Caenorhabditis elegans: one gene and its partners. The protein of the gene in region 2 purifies or fractionates together with the protein of the main gene of each other region. This does not show direct contact. Each region holds a gene or a part of one and is shown on either strand. Other genes may lie near its edges.

Region 1 (6,324 bases), on a different chromosome or scaffold from region 2:
CTTCAAAAAATATACTTATTACGCTCTTATTTTAAAGGTGTATATATCACGGAAAGAGAAACAGTCACGAGCATTTTATTTATTTATTTATTTACTTCAATACGAGCATTCAACTAGATTCTTTCAATTTGTTCTATTTCTTTACACTTTTATAACAAAAGGCATGTAAAAAATTTAAATTTGAATCACCGCGATGACAAATTCCTTTTTTTTACTTTTTTTTACTTAATTTTGCTTATTTATTTTTGCTTATTTTTGGACTTCTCAATTGTTGATTCAAATTTCATAGCCAATTTTTTTAAATTGAATTTCCTTGTTGGGCCAGTAAGATCAACTTAATGCAAAACCCAAATAAATGATACTAAAAATATTTATTTCTTCAAACTTTGAAACAATTTGCACTCTTTATGAACCAAAAGTCAAGAATGTGGCAAACATTTGCGAGTGGAAGGCAGAGAATTCGATAAGAAGAAAACAAAAATGAGTTCTAGATCTGAACTGTTAGTTTTCACATCATTATTGTTTTTTAAACTTTTCAGATATAGTTTAATTGGAAAACTTATCATAAAATGTAAAAGTTTTCCAATTAAATTTAAAAACAATATATTCCAGTTGTTTTTTCCAAAAGCCGGAACATTTTCGGAACAAATTATTCCAATCGGATTATTTTCTATTTCATTTTCTTTTTTTTTTCTCCGAAACGTGAACTTTATGAAATCCCAATTCCACAACCCAAAGTACATATTTAACCTCCAACAAACAACACAATTCTGTTCCCTCTTTTTCACCCGTTTGCACTTTATTTCTTTTCACTCACCTCGAGTCACGTGATCTCCTTCTAAGAACTGAATTTCAAAAACACAAAATGTTGTTTTCATCCGTTTCTATTTCAGCCCTTTATGTTTTTATTGAACGGTGAAAAGATCGGATCATTTTTACACTGGCTACAATTTTATTTTTTCTCATTTGTTCGTGTATGTCATATACCTGCCTGCCTGCGTGCCTTCTTAGCCCCTCGATTCTACATTCTAACATAAAATGAGCTGGGTGGTGTACACACATGATAAATTTACGTTTATCTCCCTTTATCATTTAAATTGTTTTGTTAAAAGTTCAATTAAGAAATGGCAGGTATTTTTGTGCGTATTTGGAATAGTCATAAAGCATTTAACCAAACTTCTTTCCTGAAAATATTGTTCATTGTATATTTTCATATCTTTTATCCAAAACAACTAAATGCTCAAAAATCGCACATCTGGTTATCACGTGCGGTTAGGAAAAATAGAAATCAAATATTTAGAGTACCCAAGTTTTTTTCCAAACAAAATCTATTTTTATCGTGGTCATTTGCAAACAATTCTACACTTTGTTCACTAGACTTGAGACCAACTGTTTTTTTTCTGTTTTTTGTCCGCTGATGCTCCAATTGCTCTACCACGTGTCTGTGCTCCTATCAACTCATTGGTACCTCCCTTGATGTTTACACAAATATCTTTTCTTTCTTCTCAACTCTATCATTATTGTCTGGCCAACGTGATTCGGCTGTTTTTTTTTTTCGTGCCTAATTATTTTAAAAAAAACTTTTCTACAAAATAAGAATTTTCAGAAATCTTAAAAGCGTCCCGAAGTAGTTCAAGTTGTTTTAGTACTGGAGCTCATTAAGGTTTAGAAAAATCATAAGCTTCTGTTTTTTTTTCGCTTTTTTGTCGAAAAATTTTAAAATAATTGCTGAATTTTCATGAATTTTGCAGACTTCAAGTTTCAAAATGCCGAACCGAAAAGTGGTCAAATTCTTCTTCGATGTCATTTCTCCGTACAGTTACTTTGGATTCGAAGGAATCACTCGTCATCGTTCCGTTTGGAAGACTCCAATTCAGATGAAACCATTCTTTTTTGCTGGTGTTGTCAGACATACTGGTGAGTTTTTGTATTTTTGTCTTGAAATTTCTCTAATATCCGTAAAAAAATGGAATTAGCTTTTTTAAAGTAAGGTTTTTAAACCATGACCCTCTAACAATTCCGTTTGAAATGTCAAAATAAAAGCTTTCAATTTACTTCTGGAAAAGGACATGCAAAACCTTAAGAAGCCTGTATGTTATTATTTTCTAAAAAATGCACCTCTATCTATTTATATCATAAGGTCGGCTACTTCTACTTCTTAAAATCTGCTTTAATCTGACGAAGGGCACTAGAATAGATAAATACACTTAAATAGTTCAACAATAGTTCAACATTATAATAGTTGAACATGACATATATTAACATAATAAGACAATCCAAAAATTTCAGGATTTTTCAAAATGATCAGTGAACGTTTTGATAAGTTGCCAAATGTCCCTAAAAGGACTATTTGAAAGCAATTTCGAGACATTTGGAAAAGTGATATTTGGTAATTTTATAAGTATAGGAGCATTGATAAATAACATAATTGTTTTGAAAATTTTTTTCGAATCGTGCTAATCATCAGAAAGTTGTTTGATATGTACCTTCTAAATCATATAACTGCAAGTTTTCAGAAAACCCCGGTCTCCCACTCCGTATTCCTATCAAAGAAAAGTACATGCACAAAGATTTGCTCTTCTCTGCCCAATATTGGGGAATTCCGTTCCGTCTTCCCAAGGACTACACAAATATGATGTTGAACACAAGTTCAATCGTTCCACAACGTATTCTTGTCGCTTCACAACTCCGTGATAATGTTTTGATGGAAGACGTTGCTCGTGGACTCTGGCATCGATTTTATGCATACGGAAAACCAATTTTCACAAAAAGTCAAGTTGCCGAAGTTTTGAGAGATTTGCATGTAAAAGATGTCGATGAGTTGGTGATGATGAGTGATTCGGCAGAAGTTAAGAACATTTTAAGAGAAAACACAGATGAAGCCATCGGGAATGGAGTAGGTCATTTATTATAGGAACCCAGAAAAACACGGAATCGACGAGAAAACACGCTCCACAACCAATTTAAAACGGTCCGCCCCCTAACGATGGGTCTCGTTAGGTATTTTCCGTTAAACTTGAACGTTTTTGATTAGGCTCGACAATTTTCTAGAATTAGTCTTTCTGTTATATTTTTCGAAGTGTTTAATGATTTCAACATCGAAATGATGTCTAAGAAAATTATGTGAATTTAGGGCGTTTTCACTTATCATAATAATTTTATTTCATCTATTTCAACCGAAAAAACATCAAAAACTACGAAAAATATAACAAAATAGACGACGAACGCAAAATTCCTAACGAGACCCATGGTTTAGGGGCGGAGCATTTTCAGTTGGCCCCGGAGCGCGCTTGCGCGTCGTTTTAAAATGTTTTTTTGCTGTTTTATAATATTCTCAATTGGGAATTAAAATTAATTTTTTTCAGTGTTTCGGAGCTCCGTGGATGCATATCACTGATGGTCACGGAAAAGTACTTCAAACAGTTTTCGGATCGGATCGCCTTCCACAGGTGGCCGATTTTCTTGCCGAGCCATTCAAGGGTCCAATGAGAGAGAAGAAGCCGAACGCATAAATTGTCAGATTAGCATTCTAAAAAGTGTCTAGAATTTTATCTGAGAAAGAATAACGATTAAAATTAATTCTTTCTTTTGTGTTGGCAAGAGAAATACAGAAAACGATGGAAAAAATGTGGAAACAAAAAGACTACTAATCTATTTCACACGAGTTTCAATTTGTTGCGGCAATTACAGAAAAAAAACGGAGCAAAAAAGAAAGAGCATAAGCTAACGAAAACTTGGGGTTGGTTGGGGGGACGAAGGGTGAGAGATCTGAGTATGTGTTAGTTTTGCGTGGCCTCTGATGATTAGCCGAATATAAATAAGGGAAAGCGTAAAGGTTTGATAAAAAGTAAAAGAGAAATTTCAAGAAACGAAAAATAATATTACCGGTACAGAGAGTGTAGATAGTTAGAGAGTGACAGACATCCGGGACCCAATGGGGCGGGGCGCGCGGAAGAGACGATTTGTGTCGATTTACGAAATTTTCCTCGTTGTCATTATTTCGTAAATCGACACAAATCGTCTCTTCCGCGCGCCCCGCCCCATTAGGTCCCGGATGTCTGTCACTCTCTAACTATCTACACTCTCTGTACCGGTAATAGAGAACAAATAACAATCTGATATTTTCTAATCAGCTTTTTGAACTTTTCTTCGTGCGGCGGCGGACCTCGTTGTGATGGATGGCTCAGCGATGTTAGCATTGATATCTTCTTTTGGCTCCAGAATTTCGAAATCAACAGGCTGAAAAACGAATTATTTTTTTCCAAAGATTTTTTAAAAATATGCTCATAAGTCAGAATTTTCCAAGTTTCCCAGCAAGGGTAACGGGTTTTCCATTTTTTACTGAAATCTAACAATCGAAATGTTTTTTCGATTTTTCTGATATTTCGAAAAAATTCGATTTTTTCCAAATAGAAAAGTTAAAATTGTGGTCATTTTTCTTCTTGGAAGAATAAGTTCATATGTTTTCTTATGTTTTTTTCCATCAACATTAACAAAATTTGATGAAAATTGAATTTTATAATTATTTTCTGAACATTGCCGATTTTTCGATTTTCTTGAAACCTTTTTTCTCAGGTAAATTAAAACGAGATCGGGGAAATTTTTTGAATTATTTTCATAATTTACTGTACCTAAAAGATGCTCACCTCTTCCTTTTCCTTCTTATCTTTCTTAACTTCGGTATAACGGTTGTTTTTCTTAACATATGCATGGTAGAAGAAGTTGGCGAAAAGAAGGAAATATGTGAAATAAACTCCAAAGCATAATCCCAAATTGTCCCATGTCTGTTGGCAGTATTCACCCGATGACTTGATACGGTAGACAGTGACTCCGATGATTACTCCCATAACCATTTGAGCAAGTTGGAGAGTAGTAACAACCATTGCCATTTGTTTTGGAAGACGGAATTTCAGAGAACGAAGAGCATAGTAGGAATACATAAGAGCATGAACTCCATAATTCATCCAAATGAACCACCGTCCTGATGCAGTGTGATCCTTGTACGCGTGCCATGTGTAGATCATAACAGTTACATGATGATACCAGTGAAGGAAGATGAGTGGACGTTTACGAAGAACGATGAAGATTGTGTCGATGAGCTCGAAAAGTTTGCTCATTGCGAATTGTTCAGTCCAGAAACCAGTGACTCCTTGAGCATAAGATGAATGACAAATTGAATATTTGAATGAGTTTCCTTCTGCTGACCAACTCCATACAAATTCAGGTGTCATTCGGAGGAACCCGAGAATTGAGAAAATGGCTAAAAATGAATTCCAGACGAAGAGTGGTGTGTCCAGTTGGAAGGGCTTGTACTTTTCCATAATCTGAAACATTTGAGAACTATTAAGTGATTTTCGGTTTCGATTCTTAATTGCATTCTGAAGGCTAGACTCAAAAGTAATAACTCGTGATTTTTTGTAGATGAGAACCACCTGCTAAGCAATTACTTTAATGTCGATATATTTTCGGTTATGCTTTAAAATATGTAACGCACCTAGGAGGCTTCTGAAACGGAATTCACAGTTTTTGGGAGTAGAGGTTGTGTTTTCTATAGTAAAAACTGGTTAGAAACTACCGAATTCATGATGAGACTTCTCAAAAAAAATTCTAAAAATTTTTATGACAAAAATTCCGAAAAAGTCCAAAATTTGAAATTTTGCCAGCTTTTTCTTGTCGCTGCAGCTGGGAAACAGTTTTTTATTGATGTAATAACTTTTATTGAATATTTTGGTAATTATTCTCGCGTTAACTAGTTTCTTTTAGCACATTTCAGATTTTAGAAAAATGCGCCTCTTTTTCGGAAATTGACACGCCATAAAAATTCTTTTTTTTTTTTGAGAAGTGTCAATACTCTCTCTTTAACCACTATTGTAGTTTTCGACTGTTTTTCTACACATAATTTTCTACAGACATTTCCAGGAAATATGGTGTGACTTCCTATGTTTCACTGTTTTTGGAGCATCATTTTCTGTCATTATCATGTCACTTTTCTAGCGTCTCACCTAGCTAAAACTCTTATCAGTTTAACTATAACTAATTTTTCTGCAACTATCAAAAAAGCGTATACACAAACCTTCTTTCCTGTAAAAATGACGGCTACATACACGACAGATGCTGTAATTGATTGATACCAGTGATTTTGCATCCATGTTGTCGATCGAAATGCATCAAAAGATGTCTCAAAGGGAAGGAACTGAAAATATTTATTGTTTTTTTTTTAATTTTTTGATAATAAATACTCACTATGCTGTAATTTTCTAACCCATACTTCGGATTGTAGTCGTATTTTGCCATTTTTCTGAAAAATAAAAATAGATAAAGTAA
Region 2 (8,316 bases):
ATCGCTCCGAAAAAGGAAATAATAGGGTACTTGTGTATTACATGCCTTCATTTTAATTTTCATTAATTTCTCCAATTAAAATAAACGTGATAAACATTTTTCCTCTTCAGGCTTAGAAAAGGATATTTCCTAAGCCTAGAAATACAAAAATGTGGTACACGTTTTTATTGTTTTTAACTTTAAAAATTACTCAAAAAATGAGGGCATGTAATACACAAGTACCAATAATAGTATCTAAATAGACGAAGAGTTGCTCAAAAAGTTGAATCTGATTTCAAACAGATACCTCCCAAAAGATCAGAAATCCAGATATTACAGCATTGCTCTTTTAATCCTGTTAGAATTGAATGCGCGTTTGTGTCTACACCGAGACAAAAATAAAACTAAAATATCTTGTAGATACCTGAATCAAAGTAGAAACACAAAGAGACTCACTGAAATATCAAGGAAAAAAAGAGAGAAGCCAGACATTTCTCTCTGATTCTTTGGAACTTGCAGTCTTAATGAACTCTTATGATCGCTGAACTTTTCTAACGAGCTAATCTTTGGTTGAATGAGCATTTATTTTCATCTGACGTTGAACACATGAGTCAGAAGTACGGCTTTTTGTGCACTACAATTTAATAAATGACTTGACGTCTTACCTTGACGAATATTTTAAACAATTAATTAAATTTGGTCCTATGCGAAAAGTCAACATGCTCCAAATATACACAGGAGAAAGAGCTCCACGTAGGCTCAAAAATGTTAATTGCTCACTGGATGGCTCACACCTTCCCTATTTCTATACACACCTGAAAATGTTTCATTAGTTGACGTTTCAACTTGAAACTTTAATGAAATACATAAAGATATGCTTCTATTGGATTTTAACCAAGGAATAAATGCAGTATACTCTCTCTCCTTATAGTTAAACAAACAAATACTTGTAGCCACCTGTCATTAAAAAGATACAATCTCCGAAGTCAGAATTTTTATAAAAAACTATAAAATTGATTGATAGAATGTAGGTTGCATCTTAAAAACTGTTTTCTATGTCTAAGAATTTGTGTTTTGTGTATGTAAAGATACTATCGGTTGTGATCAAAAATTGATTTCAATTGGATATATTAATAACATTTTTCCAGATATTTGCGTTCAAAAAACATAAAATTTGAAAAGGCTCTGACTATACCACTTCGGAATATAAATTAAATAAAAATGTCGTATCATTTTTTCGCCCACTTATCTTATTCAAATCCGACGATATCCAGCTCAACACTCAAGTTAAAGATCAAGACGAGTCACATTTGTTGAGGAGTAAATATAGAAGATTCATGAATTATAACTCGTCGCAATGATAATATTCAGGTGGAATCAGAGAAAGATTTCCAAAAATGATATTACTTCTTACTTAGTTAGTCAAAGACTTGTGATACAATCGAAAATTGGAAAATGAATAAAAGTTACACATGTCTTGTAACTAGTTTTTGTGCCTGCCTGTCGACTTTATAAACTCTATACATTAGAAAATAAATAATTTTAATCTCTAGTTCCTAAATCCAAAACATTGACATCTTAATTGATATTTTAAATTGAGTCTTTAATAAATTTTTTAACTGACTTATAGAAAGAACATATTTTTCATGATAATTGTTAGTTTTGTGATATCGTCGTATTACTAGAGGAAGTGGACTTTACAATGATAATAATCAGGCGGGCATTACATCAACATTTGGCTTTATACGTAGCTTCTATTCGAAAAACAATTATCGTGTGGAAGCTGAAATCTGGAGAAGGTACTTTGAAGGCACGTGTATTTTGATTTCAGTTTTTCCGTCGTTATGTACAGGCGCCAAAAAATTTGTGGAACTGAGTTTATAAAAGCAACAATCTTCTGAGTGCCAAGTTTCAATACTGAGGACATAATTTCACGAAATTTCTTTCCGTCATCAGTTTAAAGACACACACTGTTTTTTGAGTGGGTCTCGCCACGATCTCAGTCATAATGACCGTTACATTTTTTACAGATTTGTTAATTCGATGTAGTTTTAAACAGTTGATTTTATCTGAAAATGGTAATATATCGTATATTCTCTTTCAGTGCTGCACCCACATAGCTCAACTTGCATATATCTCGAAGGTTTTGGGTGATTTTGTACATTTCAAAAACATTAGGCATAGAAAAAGATTTAATAAGCATTTTAGCTAAAGTTTTTTGGCTGAAATCAAGAGATGACCGAGATATGAGATGTCAAAGTTGAACAATGGGGATGCCGCACTAATAGAGAATAAACGGTAACTTTTTTTAATCTTCAAAAAAAATAATTAAAAAATGGCCAAATTGACAGATCGGAAAAGTTATAATTGTAGGTTTTTCGATAAGAAATCTGAATTCGTTTTCCTCTCAATCAAATAATCAACGATCACAATTCTAGAATTAAGACATCAAAACACAATAAAATCGGGTGACAAGTAGGTCGGTAAGAGACCATTGGTTATTGTGCTCCAGTGAAAAATCTGCCGAAAAACGGACTTTGGAGAAACAAATTAAACTTTTCTTGTTCCTCTTATACTAATTCTACCAGACTTCACGTGAAAAACTGACATTCATTGTTAATTTTTCGTCATTTTCGATCGTTCGTTGTGTTGTTCAACCCTTTTCTAACTGGCGACTATTGAGACAATTCTATGTCACTATAGTGTACAAAGAACGATCAAGTCATTTTTCGGTACAGACTAGGACTACGTTCAACTGTTTTTGAATTTTTTGTGCAAACGTCGGTTTGTATTTTTAAATCTTCCAGTGGTTCAAAAGCTGCTCTGGAAGTTGGAATAAAAACGATAAATTTTCATAACAACAAAAAAACGGATGAAGAATAAAAACAAAACAATTTGGACGAAATCAACGACAAAGAAAAGAATAACAATGTTAGAACCAATTAATAGTCTGTAAAATGATGAATTTCAAAAACATGAAGACGTCCATCATCGTTTCCAACGGCCATATATCCTCCATTTGGAGAAAACTCCACACATCTTGCATGTGTCACTTTTCCGTTTCTTTCCGGGAAGTTTTTGAATGTTGTCTGACTTGCCACGTGGACGAGACGAAGATGATTGTCCTTGACATTTGAACAAATTGCCATCAATTGAGCATCAGAATTGAAAGCGATTGATGAGACCGCGGTGACGAGATTAGAAACATTGAAAAGTGGACGAGGATTTGTAGAATTGCGGCAATCATTTCCAGAATAGACATTCACGATTCCGGTATCACTTCTGGAAATTTCAAATTTTCATCATATAATCAGGATGTATGTAAAGACTAGGTCATTTATTTTCACCGGAATTCAACAAAAAAAGATTTTTTTTTTTAAATTTTTGTTGCTAAACTGAAAATATCAACAAAAAAAAAGATGTAGCAAACTGTACAATTATATTAATATATGAATTATATGAATGAATGACAGTATCGTGATTTTACGAATTATAAAAGTTTGATTTTAAAAAAGCTTACCCAGTCGCAAAGTAATCTCCATGTTGGCTGATGGCGAGTGTTGTTCCGTGCACAGCTCCATCGTCGGTGAATGTATGTTGCGATGATTTGGTTCCCGGCAATCCAATGTTTGCGATCACAATTTGGCCGGTCTCTAGAAATTTCGAATAATTTTTGAATTTTTGGCAATATAAAACCAACCGCAGATGATCCAAATTTCACGGCTGTGCGATGGGAAAAACTTGATTTCTGACGCATTTGCTGGGAGTGATATTGTTGTGATATGCTCCATCGACTGAAACATTTTACATTTAAACTTTTAATTTGCCAATAATTTAATTTTTTGACATACAGTAGCATGGAGAACATAGATGTGAGAATTGTGTCCTGCAATTGCCAAAAATTGAGAGTCATGCGAAATGGCAAAGAGCCGAATTCCTTGCTTTGGTACTGCTGTAAAATGTTCAAAGTTTTGCTTCAAATTTTATTAAATATTAAACGTACTGTTTGGAGGTTTCAACTGTGTCACTTCTCTTGTTTCCATATTGTACTGCATCAAATATTCCTTTCGGCTTGAAGAACAGATCACAGAGTGTCCTTTATCAGCAATTTCCAGACTATCAATCGGGAATTTTGAGAAATTCGCACTTTGAAGGAAACGATCCTTTTTAACCTCACGACTTACCTGAAATAAGTAAGGAATGGTTTAATTAAAACAGAAAACACAACTTACTTTAAAAAGTTGAACATTTCCACCTTGATCGGCAACAATGAGCACTGGTCGGGTTTTATGAAATTTAACAACAGTGATTCCACGAGTGTATCGGTGTCCGATGTTGAAATCTTTTATAAGAGTTGTATGAATAGTTGTTTTTGGTAAATTCACGTCTTTCGCCAAATATCCGGCAGCAGTTTTCAACAATGACCCTTCTTCTTCGTCTCCTAAAATTGTAAAATACGATTTTTGAACTATTGATTTTCCAAAAACCTGCAGCAGCCTTAGCCCATTTTGGTGTGCCTCCGTGGCGTTTTCTGAACGCCTCTTGCAATCTACCAACGTATTCCTAAAATATTAAAATTATTTTTCAGAAGTAATTTATCCTTCTGCCTATTTTCAATTATATAATCTTTATTACACGTTGAATAACGTATTTCTAAAAAAAATTTACCTTTGAATCCAATTCTCCATGTTCTTCGTCTGTGGTTCGCTTGAGTTCAACTCGCATTGTCATTTTCACTTTTTTTGGAACCGCCACAACCATATTATCGTCGTCCTCATCGTGCCACGCAGGCTTTTCAGACTCAATCACTGGCCGTTTGCTCATTTCTCTGAAAATTGTTCAAAATAACCTTAATGAAAGATTCAATAAGCTGAAAATTAAAGAAAATTCGGAAAAGAAAAAAGAAAAATGAGAAGCAATTGTCGTCAAATAGTGTGTGTTATCGTAGTTTTAGTGCAAACACCGTCACGTCTCAATGCAGAATTTCATTAATTTCAGTATTTCAGCTGAAAATTTCAGTCTTTCTTATCAATTTACTATTGTTTTCGTTTTCTTTTCAGCATTTTTGTATGTTTTCTACAAAATTTCCATTATCAGGAGTATTGCGAACCGCCAGAATGGTCACCTCCACCGGCCCTGAAGCAGAACTGGCTCCTATTGAGCAGGCGAAGAAACGAGTAAGTCAAAAATTAAGACCAATTCCAACCCTCATTAATCATTTCAGGCTGCGTTTGCCTGCGGTGAAAAATATGTGCAAAGTGGTTGCCGTCTTGGTGTTGGATCCGGAAGCACTGTCAAGTATTTGGTAGAATATCTTAAACAAGGATTTCAGAATGGAAGTCTCAAGGATATCATCTGTGTTCCAACCAGTTTTTTGGTAAACAGATTTTCAACAAACCCAATTGTTATAAATAAGTATTTCAGACAAAACAATGGCTGATTGAGTCTGGTCTCCCTGTCTCCGATTTGGATTCACATCCAGAACTGGATGTGTGTATTGATGGAGCTGATGAAGTTGACGGACAGTTCACGTGCATCAAAGGCGGAGGTGGATGTCTGGCTCAAGAAAAAATTGTTCAAACCGCTGCAAAAAACTTTTACGTGATCGCTGATTATTTAAAAGATTCCAAACACTTGGGTGATCGCTATCCGAATGTCCCAATTGAGGTAAATTATTTAACTTTTTATAATTATCAGTAAAGAAAGATGCACTAAAGAATAAACTTTAGAACAATAGTTTTTTCTAAATAGATGTAGTTATGTTGACTGTTTTTAATGAGATTTATTGCAGGTTCTACCTCTTGCTGCTCAACCACTTCTACGTTCGATTCCACGCGCTGAAGGTGGAAGCTGTCAACTTCGACAAGCTGTCAAAAAGTGCGGACCAATTGTGACAGACAATGGAAACTTCATTATTGATTGGCAGTTCGAGAAAAACGTATCCGGAAGAGATTGGTTCGCGATTCAGCAACGATTGGCCAATACACCAGGAATTGTTGAAACCGGATTATTCATCGGTTGCGTCGACGCAGTATTCTTCGCGTACTCTGACGGATCTGTCAAGGAAATTGTCAATTCCAAGAAGCACTGACTACTTGCATCGAATTTTGTTCATATTGAAAATTAGTTGTTTCTTATCACCACCACACTCTCCAAACTTCACTTTTCCTCTTCCCAGTTGTTGTGAAAATTGTACCCATTCATTCCCAATGTTCCTAGTATACGTGTAGTTCTTAGAATAGCCCCAATAAAAATTGTGTTGAAAAAACGTCTTTCTTAAAAAACTGAAAAAAAAATTAGAAAACTCTGAAAACGTTTTGAAATGTAAAGTGTCTGGATGTAAAGTGTCTGAAACTGTTTAATTTCAAATTACAGTAGTCTTGAAGTGTATGAATGGCGAGGATAGCTTAAAGATTGAAAGAAATGAGAATTTGCTTCCTAAATGACTCATTGGAGGCGGTAAAATTAAGAGCGAGCAATAATTTCAAAAATACTGATAAAGTTGGGAAATAAGTAAATATTTCAAAATTTTTAACAATTGCTGTATTAAAAAGCACTTTCGTCAAATCGTATCATTCGTATTCTATTCATTCCAGATTGTTCAAATTTTAATTTCCAAATGATTACATCTGAATTGAGTGATTTCCTCGAGATCAACGAAAAAAATAGTGTTCTAAGAGGAATATCGGCAAGCGATAAGGTATGATTTTGTGCACTAAGAGATAGGCACGGTCTCTGCTTAAAGACAAATGTAGTTTCAATTCAACTAGCTTGTGCTCATTTCAGATACTTTCATCAGGTATTTGTCAACTTCTTTTTTCTGAAAATGGGCATTGGCGGATACCGAATGGGGGAACCGCTGTGGCATTGTTTTTGAAAGTAAGTACGATAAATTTTAAAAAGATGAACTGTGGTAGAAAGCTGCAAAGATGTTATCATATGAAAACTACTAGAAGAACAAACAATTAATCTAGATTAATTATTTCAAAATGAGAAATGTATACTTTTTTCGAAGTGAGTCGCAGTAGGATTGTTTGCAAAATCCAATTTAGTTTTGCAAAGAAATACTCAAACTCAACAGACGATTAATTCAATTTTTCAGAACAGTACGGAACGATATTACCGGATAATAGTAATGGAACCATCTGCAGATCCAGATTGGGAACCAACAGTTCAATTTGATTTTCTTATTAGGTAATCTTGAATATAATTTAATTTCAACTAACACTATGATTATAGAGACAAAAAGTTTGAAACAATGCAGGAACATGCAAGGTTACTCGTTTTTGAGGCAGAATCCAGATACATTGGATTGAACTTTTACGACTCAAAGGAATGTGAGAACTTTCACAATAGTGTTTGCAAACGACAAAGTGAGTAATTCGATTATTAAACTAGTTGGAAAAATATCGCTTTTTCCATATTTTTATTATGTACAATACTATTTCTTAAATCAATTTTTGAGTTCAATAATAATAGGGTAATGTTTATATTTCCGTCTATCTTTGCTTTTATTACAGAAATAGGTAGAATACGGTAACTTGAGTTCTAATATATGCAAGATAGAACCCTAAATCGGTACTTGTGTATGATAACCCCACATTTGTAAAATTTATCTTTTTAGATTTTGAATGTGACTTTTATATATAGATTCTTAGGCTTACTATTCGAAAATGATATTCACATTTTTAATAAATGGGAAAATACAACAATTACTAATTTATTTTCAAAATATGGGGCTATAATACACAAGCCTTAAATTTCAGCGAGAAGTACCGATAAAGCAAAGCAGCCAGCATTGGAGGGAAAGACGAAGAAGAAAAGTAGTTTCTTTCATGATCCATTCAAATCCCACAGGGAACCAAGAAAACAAGTTGAAATTGAAGCACCAACAGATTTTCGGCATGTTGATGGTGTGAAGTTGACAGATGTACAAGAAGATTTGTATATGCAAGTTAGGAGTAAATTGAATGTATAGTTTTCCAAACCTCTATTGCCAAGACTACGTTGAAATTTCAGGTGAATAATCCAGAAGAAGAGGAAATTGTGAAGCAATTGATTGTAAGAAATGAAGATCATATTAGACAATCATTGATGGTGAAAAAAGAATCTCAAACTGTGAAAGAAGTTAAGGACAAAAATAAGGATAAAGTCAAAACAAGTAAAGTGAATCCGAAAATTGACAAAAGTCGACAAATAAGACTCGAAAACATTGTTGTCCAAAATTTGAAAATCTAAGACCGATTTATTTCTTTTTTTCAGAGCTTTTTTGGACGTAACAAACCAAAAGTCGAGGATGTTTCTCAACCGATTGTACCAGTCATCACTGGTGATCCA
Region 3 (6,976 bases), on a different chromosome or scaffold from region 2:
ACGGGCATCCAACGACGACTGAAACGTAGCCACGTACTCGAATATTGTTCTCGAGGGCGATTTTTGTGACTTCCATGAGCTTTTTCAGACTATCTTCCACATTGGAATTCACATTTTTCAGTGAAAACGCGTCTGAAGCTGCTCCAAATACGGCAATCTCTTCGACGACTCCTGTTGCGAGCTGGAAACTTGAGAAATTTGCAATTTTAAAGGTGGAGTAGCGCTAGTGGGGAAATTGCTTTAAAACATGCCTATGGTACCACAATGACCGAATATCATGATTAAAAATTTTTAAAAAAATTTCAAAATTTTATATGATTTTTTGAAAATTGAAAAAATCTCAGTTTTTGCCTAATTCCTATTTGAATTTCCGCCAATTGGATTTGTTCGATGGAGCGCGCTTGCACGTTTTTAAATTTATTTATTTTATTTTTTGTTATTTTCCACCGATTTTTAATGTTTTCAGTGTATTTTTGCTCGAATTTTAGAGAAAAAGCCAAGATAAATTCAAATTTTCGATTAAAAAGCACGCTGACAGGCGTAAATCAGTGAAATTAATTAATTCAGGTTCGAAATCATTTAAAAGCGTTACTTTGTCATTTTTACGCCTGTCAGCGTGCTTTTTAATCGAAAATTTGCATTTATCTTGGCTTTTTCTCTAAAATTCGAGCAAAAATACACCGAAAACATTAAAAATTGGTGGAAAATAACAAAAATAAATAAATTTAAAAACGTGCAAGCGCGCTCCATCGAACAAATCCAATTGGCGGAAATTCAAATAGGAATTAGGCAAAAACTGAGATTTTTTCAATTTTCAAAAAATCATATAAAATTTAGAAAAATTTTTTGAATTTTTTTACTATGATATTCGGTCATCCCCACTAGCGCTACTCCACCTTTAAGCCCTAAAAAATCAATAAAATACCGCGTTTTTGAGGCCAGCGGCGTTTGGAACCAGAACCGGGTAGGAGACACCTTCAAATCTCCGATGTTTCTTGACAATTTCGTTGTGATCAGCCAACTGGGGCACCCATTTCGGTGAGACGAAGCTTGTCGTCTCTACCGTTTGAAATCCGCACTCTGAGAGCCGATCGATGAGCTCGACCTTGATTTCGGTGGGAACGAACTTCTTTTCGGCCTGAAATTAAGAAAATAATGGATTTTTTGCAATTATTTTGCAATTTTCCAGGATAAATTACCTGTAAACCGTCTCGCGCGCCAACTTCCACCACACGAAATCGATTTATTGCTGTGGAGTAGGCACGGTTGGCCAGTAGGCGATTGGGCAGCATTTTTTAGCGCGCCTAAAAATATAAAAATAAGGTTTTCTCCATAAACATTAAAATTCGAGCGGTAAAGCAGAAGAAAACATATGAATTGCTCCTAAAAACTGATGGAAACAATGAGAAACTAAAAGAAAAAAATTATTGAGATTTTTCGATATTTTCTGCGGTTTTTTACTGTAAAGTATCAATATTTATCGTTTAAACAATAAAAATCAATAAAAATCCAATAATTTCAGCTAAAAATCAAAGAAAAATCAAAGAAAAACATAAAAAATAGATAAAAAATAAATAATTTTTATTCGAATCCCAAAAGTCCGCAAACACCGCACACCACATTTGACGACAAATTGCACACATTTATTTATTTAATCATTTTTTATTTATTTTTCTCGATTTTTTCAGTTTTTTACTCGAAATTTATCAAAAATACATTAAATTTTCAGATGCTCCTTCGGAAAAGCATCCCCTACATCAAAATATGCCGAGATATAAGCGCTTCCGTCCGAAATAACAAGGAAATTGCGCAGAAACTCCCGCTCTCCGTGCCTCTGCCAATGGAAAACAACTCCAAATCAATAGAAAAAGGATGCCCGCCAATGGGAAGAAACTCGAGGGTTACTAGACTTCCGAACGGCCTGAAAGTTTGCACAGAAGACACTTACGGCGATTTTGTGACTGTTGGCGTCGCGATTGAGAGCGGCTGCCGCTATGAAAATGGTTTTCCGTTTGGAATTTCGAGAATTGTGGAGAAACTTGCTTATAATGTAGGCTTTTGATAGGAAAAATTATGGAAAATTGGAAAAATTAGAGAAAAATATGATGCAAATCGGGAAAAAATGACGAAATTTGAGTTTTCTCGGGCCAGTTTCGGATTAATTTTTACCCGTTCTCCAAAAACCAATAAAACTCAAAAAATACGTTAAAAAACAAACTTAAAACAGAAATTTGCAACAAAAATTTAAAAAAAAACAGGAATTTCTACTGAAAAAGCTAAATTTTCAAAAAAATAACTTTTTAAAAACTTGGTTGAGTACCAAAATCTGTGGAAATATTTTTAATTGACTCCAAATTTTCCCCTGATTCCGAATATCAATGTGAAAAAATTCAAAAAAATTTCCCTGATTTTATATTTAAGCTTGAAATCGCCGAATTTCATTTGTACCTCGGAAACACTTTTTTTAAATTCGCGCCCAAAAATATTCGCATTGGAGCGCGCTTTGATTGTCTTCATTTAAATAATTTATTTATTTTTCGCCGAGTTCAGTTTTTTTAAAAACCAGTTTCATTAATTTTTGTCGAAAAATATTTTTTCTTAGAAAAACCGATACAGATTCGACAAAAATTAATGAAACTGGTTTTTAAAAAAACTGAACTCGGCGAAAAATGAAGAAAATATTCAAATGAAGAAAATCAAAGCGCGCTCCATGCGAATATTTTTGGGCGCGAATTTAAAAAAGTGTTTTCGAAGTACAAATGAAATTCGGCGATTTCAAGCTTCAATATAAAATCAGGGGAATTTTTTTGAATTTTAATTTTTTTCACATAGATATTCGGAATCAGGGGAAAATTTGGAGTAAATTAAAAATATTTCCACAGATTTCGCTACTCAACCAAGTTTTTTAAAAGTTATTTTTTTGGAAAATTTAGTTTTTTCAGTAGAAATTCCTATTTTTTTCTAAAATTTTTGTTGCAAATTTCTGTTTTTGAAGTTTAATTTTTTGAAAAGAAAATTTTGAATTTCTACGCATTTTTTGGGTGTTTTTGTTTTTTGGAGAACGGGGGTAAAAATTAATCCAAAAATGACCCGAGAAAACTCAAGTTTTGTAATTTTTTCGAAAAAAAAACCCTACAGAGCCAAATTTGCCCCCACAAACCAAAAATTTCCAATAAAAAACTAATTTTTCACAAAAATAAATAAATATATATATATATATATCCATGAGAAAATATCTGAAAATACGGAAAAATTGAAATGTTTCAAAAAAAAACCCTTACAATTAAGAAATTCTTGAAACATATATAGTCGGGTTACTGTAGTAGTACAATAGTGGTACGGTAGGAGTACTGTAGGGTTACGGTAGTTTAGGAAAAATTCGTTATATACATAATATATATACATACTATATATCCAGTATACATAGTATATATCATATATATATAGTTTCAAGAATAACTTAAAGGTGGACTAACGGATAAAATTTTTTATGGCGGTTCAAAATTTCGAAAAAATTACACTGATTTTAGCTAAAATCTCGAATTTTGCCTATTTTTCGGTGTCACATCAGTCCGAAGTTGACTTTTTCGGAATTATCATCCTTTATTGCATATATTGGTAGTTTATCTCATTTAATTTTGTTGATTAAGGTACATTTAAAGCCGATAGGTGACCAAAAATCGTCGAAATTGGTTACCGATCGGCTTTAATTGTACCTTAATCAACAAAATTAAATGAGATAAACTACCAATATATGCAATAAAGGATGATAATTCCGAAAAAGTCAACTTCGGACCGATGTGACACCGAAAAATAGGCAAAATTCGAGATTTTAGCTAAAATCAGTGTAATTTTTTCGAAATTTTGAACCGCCATAAAAAATTTTTGAAAAATTTTTGAGCAGTTTCATCACGAAATTCGTTCATTTGAGAACATTTTGGGTCTATACGTTCAAAATCGTCCGAACCGTTAGTCCTCCTTTAATTGTAAGGTTTTTTTTAATTTTAAAAATTTCCAAAATAGTTTTTTTTTGAAACTCGAAAATTTGTTAAAACTAATTTTTCCCAAAAAAAATTGCAAAATTTCCAGTCATCGGAATCGTTCTCAAGCCGCGACGAAGTCTTTGCAAAACTCGAGGAAAACAGTGGAATTGTGGATTGTCAGAGTACACGTGACACAATGATGTACGCGGCGAGCTGCCATCGTGACGGAGTGGATTCTGTAATTCACGTACTATCCGACACTATTTGGAAGCCAATTTTTGACGAACAAAGTCTCGAACAGGCGAAACTAACAGTTTCCTACGAGAATCAAGATCTACCGAATCGAATTGAAGCCATCGAAATTCTCCTTACTGACTGGATTCATCAAGCGGCTTTTCAGAATAATACTATAGGATATCCGAAATTTGGCAACAATTCGATGGATAAAATTCGAGTTTCTGATGTTTATGGGTTTTTGAGCAGAGCTCATACTCCTCAAAGAATGGTTGTTGGAGGTAATTGTGTTGTACTTCACGAGGAGAGGTTTCGATTTTTTTTTGTTGAAAAATCGCAAAAAAAATGTACAAAAAAAACCGTTGAAAATTAGAGAAAATATGGAAAAATTGAGCTTTTTCAAAAAAAAAACCTTTTCGGAAAATTTTATAATTAAAAAATTCTTACAGTACCTTACAAGTACTGTAAAAACCTTAAAGTTACAGTACTTGACTTACAGTAATCCTACAGTACCCCGACCATATCCCTCCACTAACCAAAAAACAAAACCGCTTCAAAAGACAAAAAATCAACTTTTTCCAAAACTACAATAATCCTACAGTACTCCTACAGTACCCCCACCATATCCCTCCACTGAACCCAAGCCAAAATCCATTCAAAAGACGAAAAGTCTTTTTTTCCAAAACTACAGTAATTCTACAGTACCTTTACAGTACTACCACAGTACCCCGACCATATCCCTACACTGAACCGAAACCAATATCTCTTCAAAAGACAAAAAATCAATTTTTCCAAAGCTACTCCTACAGTACCTCTACGTTACCCCTACAGTACCCCGACCATATTCCCCGACTAACCGGAAAGCTATATCCCTCCAAAAGAGAAAAATCAATTTTTTCCAAAACTACAGTAATCCTACAGTACTCTTATAGTAGCTCTACAGTACCTCTACAGTACTACTACAGTACTACTACAGTACCCCGACCTTATCCCCCGACTAACCGGAAACCCATATCCCTCCAAAAGAGAAAAATCAATTTTTTTCCAAAACTACAGTAATCCTACAGTACTCTTATAGTAGCTCTACAGTACCCCTACAGTGCCCCGACGATATCCCTCTACCGAACCAAAAAACAAAACCGCTTCAGAAGACAAAAAATCTTCTTTTTTTTCCAAAACTACAGTAATCCTACAGTACTACTACAGTACCCCGACCTTATCCCCCGACCAACCGGAAACCCATATCCCTCCAAAAGAGAAAAATCAATTTTTTTTTCCAAAACTACAGTAATCCTACAGTACTCCTACAGTACCCCTACAGGTCCCCTACAGTACCCCTACAGTACCCCGACCATATCCCTACACCAACCAAAATACAAAACCTCTTCAGAAGACAAAAAACCATTTTTTTTTCCAAAACTACAGTAATCCTACAGTACCTCTACAGTACTACTACAGTACCCCGACCTTATCCCCCGACCAACCGGAAACCCATATCCCTCCAAAAGAGAAAAATCAATTTTTTTTTCCAAAACTACAGTAATCCTACAGTACTCCTACAGTACCCCTACAGGTCCCCTACAGTACCCCTACAGTACCCCGACCATATCCCTACACCAACCAAAATACAAAACCTCTTCAGAAGACAAAAAATCATTTTTTTTTCCAAAACTACAGTAATCCTACAGTACCTCTACAGTACCCCGACCTTATCCCCCGACTAACCGGAAACCCATATCCCTCCAAAAGAGAAAAATCAATTTTTTTTTCCAAAACTACAGTAATCCTACAGTACTCCTACAGTACCCCTACAGGTCCCCTACAGTACCCCTACAGTACCCCGACCATATCCCTACACCAACCAAAATACAAAACCTCTTCAGAAGACAAAAAATCATTTTTTTTTCCAAAACTACAGTAATCCTACAGTACCTCTACAGTACCCCGACCTTATCCCCCGACTAACCGGAAACCCATATCCCTCCAAAAGAGAAAAATCAATTTTTTTCCAAAACTACAGTAATCCTACAGTACTCCTACAGTACCCCGACCATATCCCTCCACTGAACAGAAACTAATATCTCTTCAAAAGACAAAAAATCATTTTTTTTTTTCCAAAACTACAGTAATCCTACAGTACTCCTATAGTAGCTCTACAGTACCCCTACAGTGTCCCGACCATATCCCTCTACCGAATCAAAAAACAAAACCGCTTCAGAAGACAAAAAATCAATTTTTTCCGAAACTACAGTAATCCTACAGTACTGTAAGTGTAAGTACAGTAAAATATCGAAAAAATATGGAAAAATTGAACTTTAAACCTCTGAAAATTTTCCGATTTGTTTCAATTTTAAAAAAGTAGTATACAGTTAGAAAAACTGTTATAATTTTTAATTTTTTTGAAAAACGTCTTAATTTTCTGTTTAAAACTCGAAAAAAACTTGAAAAAAAAAACTAGATTTTCAGAAAAAAAAAATTAAAAATTCTTTTTTGCAATATTAATTTCAATGTTCTCTTGCCAGGAGTCGGCGTCGGCCACGACGAATTCGTTTCCATCATTTCTCGTCACTTTGACCTCAACAAATCCACGTGGACTACACAACCGACAGTACTTCCCGCCAAAATCCCGGAAATTGACGAATCCCGTGCTCAATACACTGGCGGAGAGCTCCGATTGGACACTGATTTAACGAAATTGACAATTGGAAAACCGTATCCACTATTGTCACATGTTGTACTTGGACTGGAAGGATGTAGTT

The links. The genes of interacting proteins can lie anywhere in the genome.
Region 1: the proteins of B0280.9 (region 2) and gstk-2 fractionate together in Caenorhabditis elegans (co-fractionation; one large-scale study listed by BioGRID). This does not show direct contact.
Region 3: the proteins of B0280.9 (region 2) and mppa-1 fractionate together in Caenorhabditis elegans (co-fractionation; one large-scale study listed by BioGRID). This does not show direct contact.

The regions. Positions count from the first base shown.
Region 1 is NC_003282.8:7,237,698-7,244,021, reverse strand, and holds gstk-2 (Glutathione s-transferase kappa 2), read left to right. Parts: upstream 1-1,751; 5' UTR 1,752-1,766; coding exon 1,767-1,917; intron 1,918-2,516; coding exon 2,517-2,896; intron 2,897-3,365; coding exon 3,366-3,512; 3' UTR 3,513-3,577; downstream 3,578-6,324. Other genes in the region: elo-3 (Putative fatty acid elongase 3), read right to left, coding at 4,126-4,239, 4,647-5,324, 6,074-6,193, 6,244-6,294. UniProt on the Caenorhabditis elegans protein: Has roles in respiratory and lipid metabolism.
Region 2 is NC_003281.10:7,118,089-7,126,404, forward strand, and holds B0280.9 (U3 small nucleolar RNA-associated protein 18 homolog), read right to left. Parts: upstream 4,808-8,316; 5' UTR 4,804-4,807; coding exon 4,648-4,803; intron 4,543-4,647; coding exon 4,467-4,542; intron 4,421-4,466; coding exon 4,212-4,420; intron 4,164-4,211; coding exon 3,983-4,163; intron 3,932-3,982; coding exon 3,831-3,931; intron 3,774-3,830; coding exon 3,680-3,773; intron 3,633-3,679; coding exon 3,500-3,632; intron 3,262-3,499; coding exon 2,922-3,261; 3' UTR 2,817-2,921; downstream 1-2,816. Other genes in the region: rpia-1 (Probable-ribose 5-phosphate isomerase), read left to right, coding at 5,097-5,156, 5,204-5,356, 5,404-5,646, 5,771-6,070; B0280.2 (uncharacterized protein), read left to right, coding at 6,599-6,679, 6,766-6,858, 7,082-7,173, 7,219-7,352, 7,746-7,933, 7,999-8,145, 8,242-8,316. UniProt on the Caenorhabditis elegans protein: Involved in nucleolar processing of pre-18S ribosomal RNA.
Region 3 is NC_003279.8:1,745,809-1,752,784, reverse strand, and holds the start of mppa-1 (Mitochondrial-processing peptidase subunit alpha), read left to right. Parts: upstream 1-1,729; coding exon 1,730-2,050; intron 2,051-4,089; coding exon 4,090-4,498; intron 4,499-6,739; coding exon 6,740-6,976. Other genes in the region: Y71G12B.10 (hydroxymethylglutaryl-CoA lyase), read right to left, coding at 1-181, 926-1,138, 1,200-1,292. UniProt on the Caenorhabditis elegans protein: Substrate recognition and binding subunit of the essential mitochondrial processing protease (MPP), which cleaves the mitochondrial sequence off newly imported precursors proteins.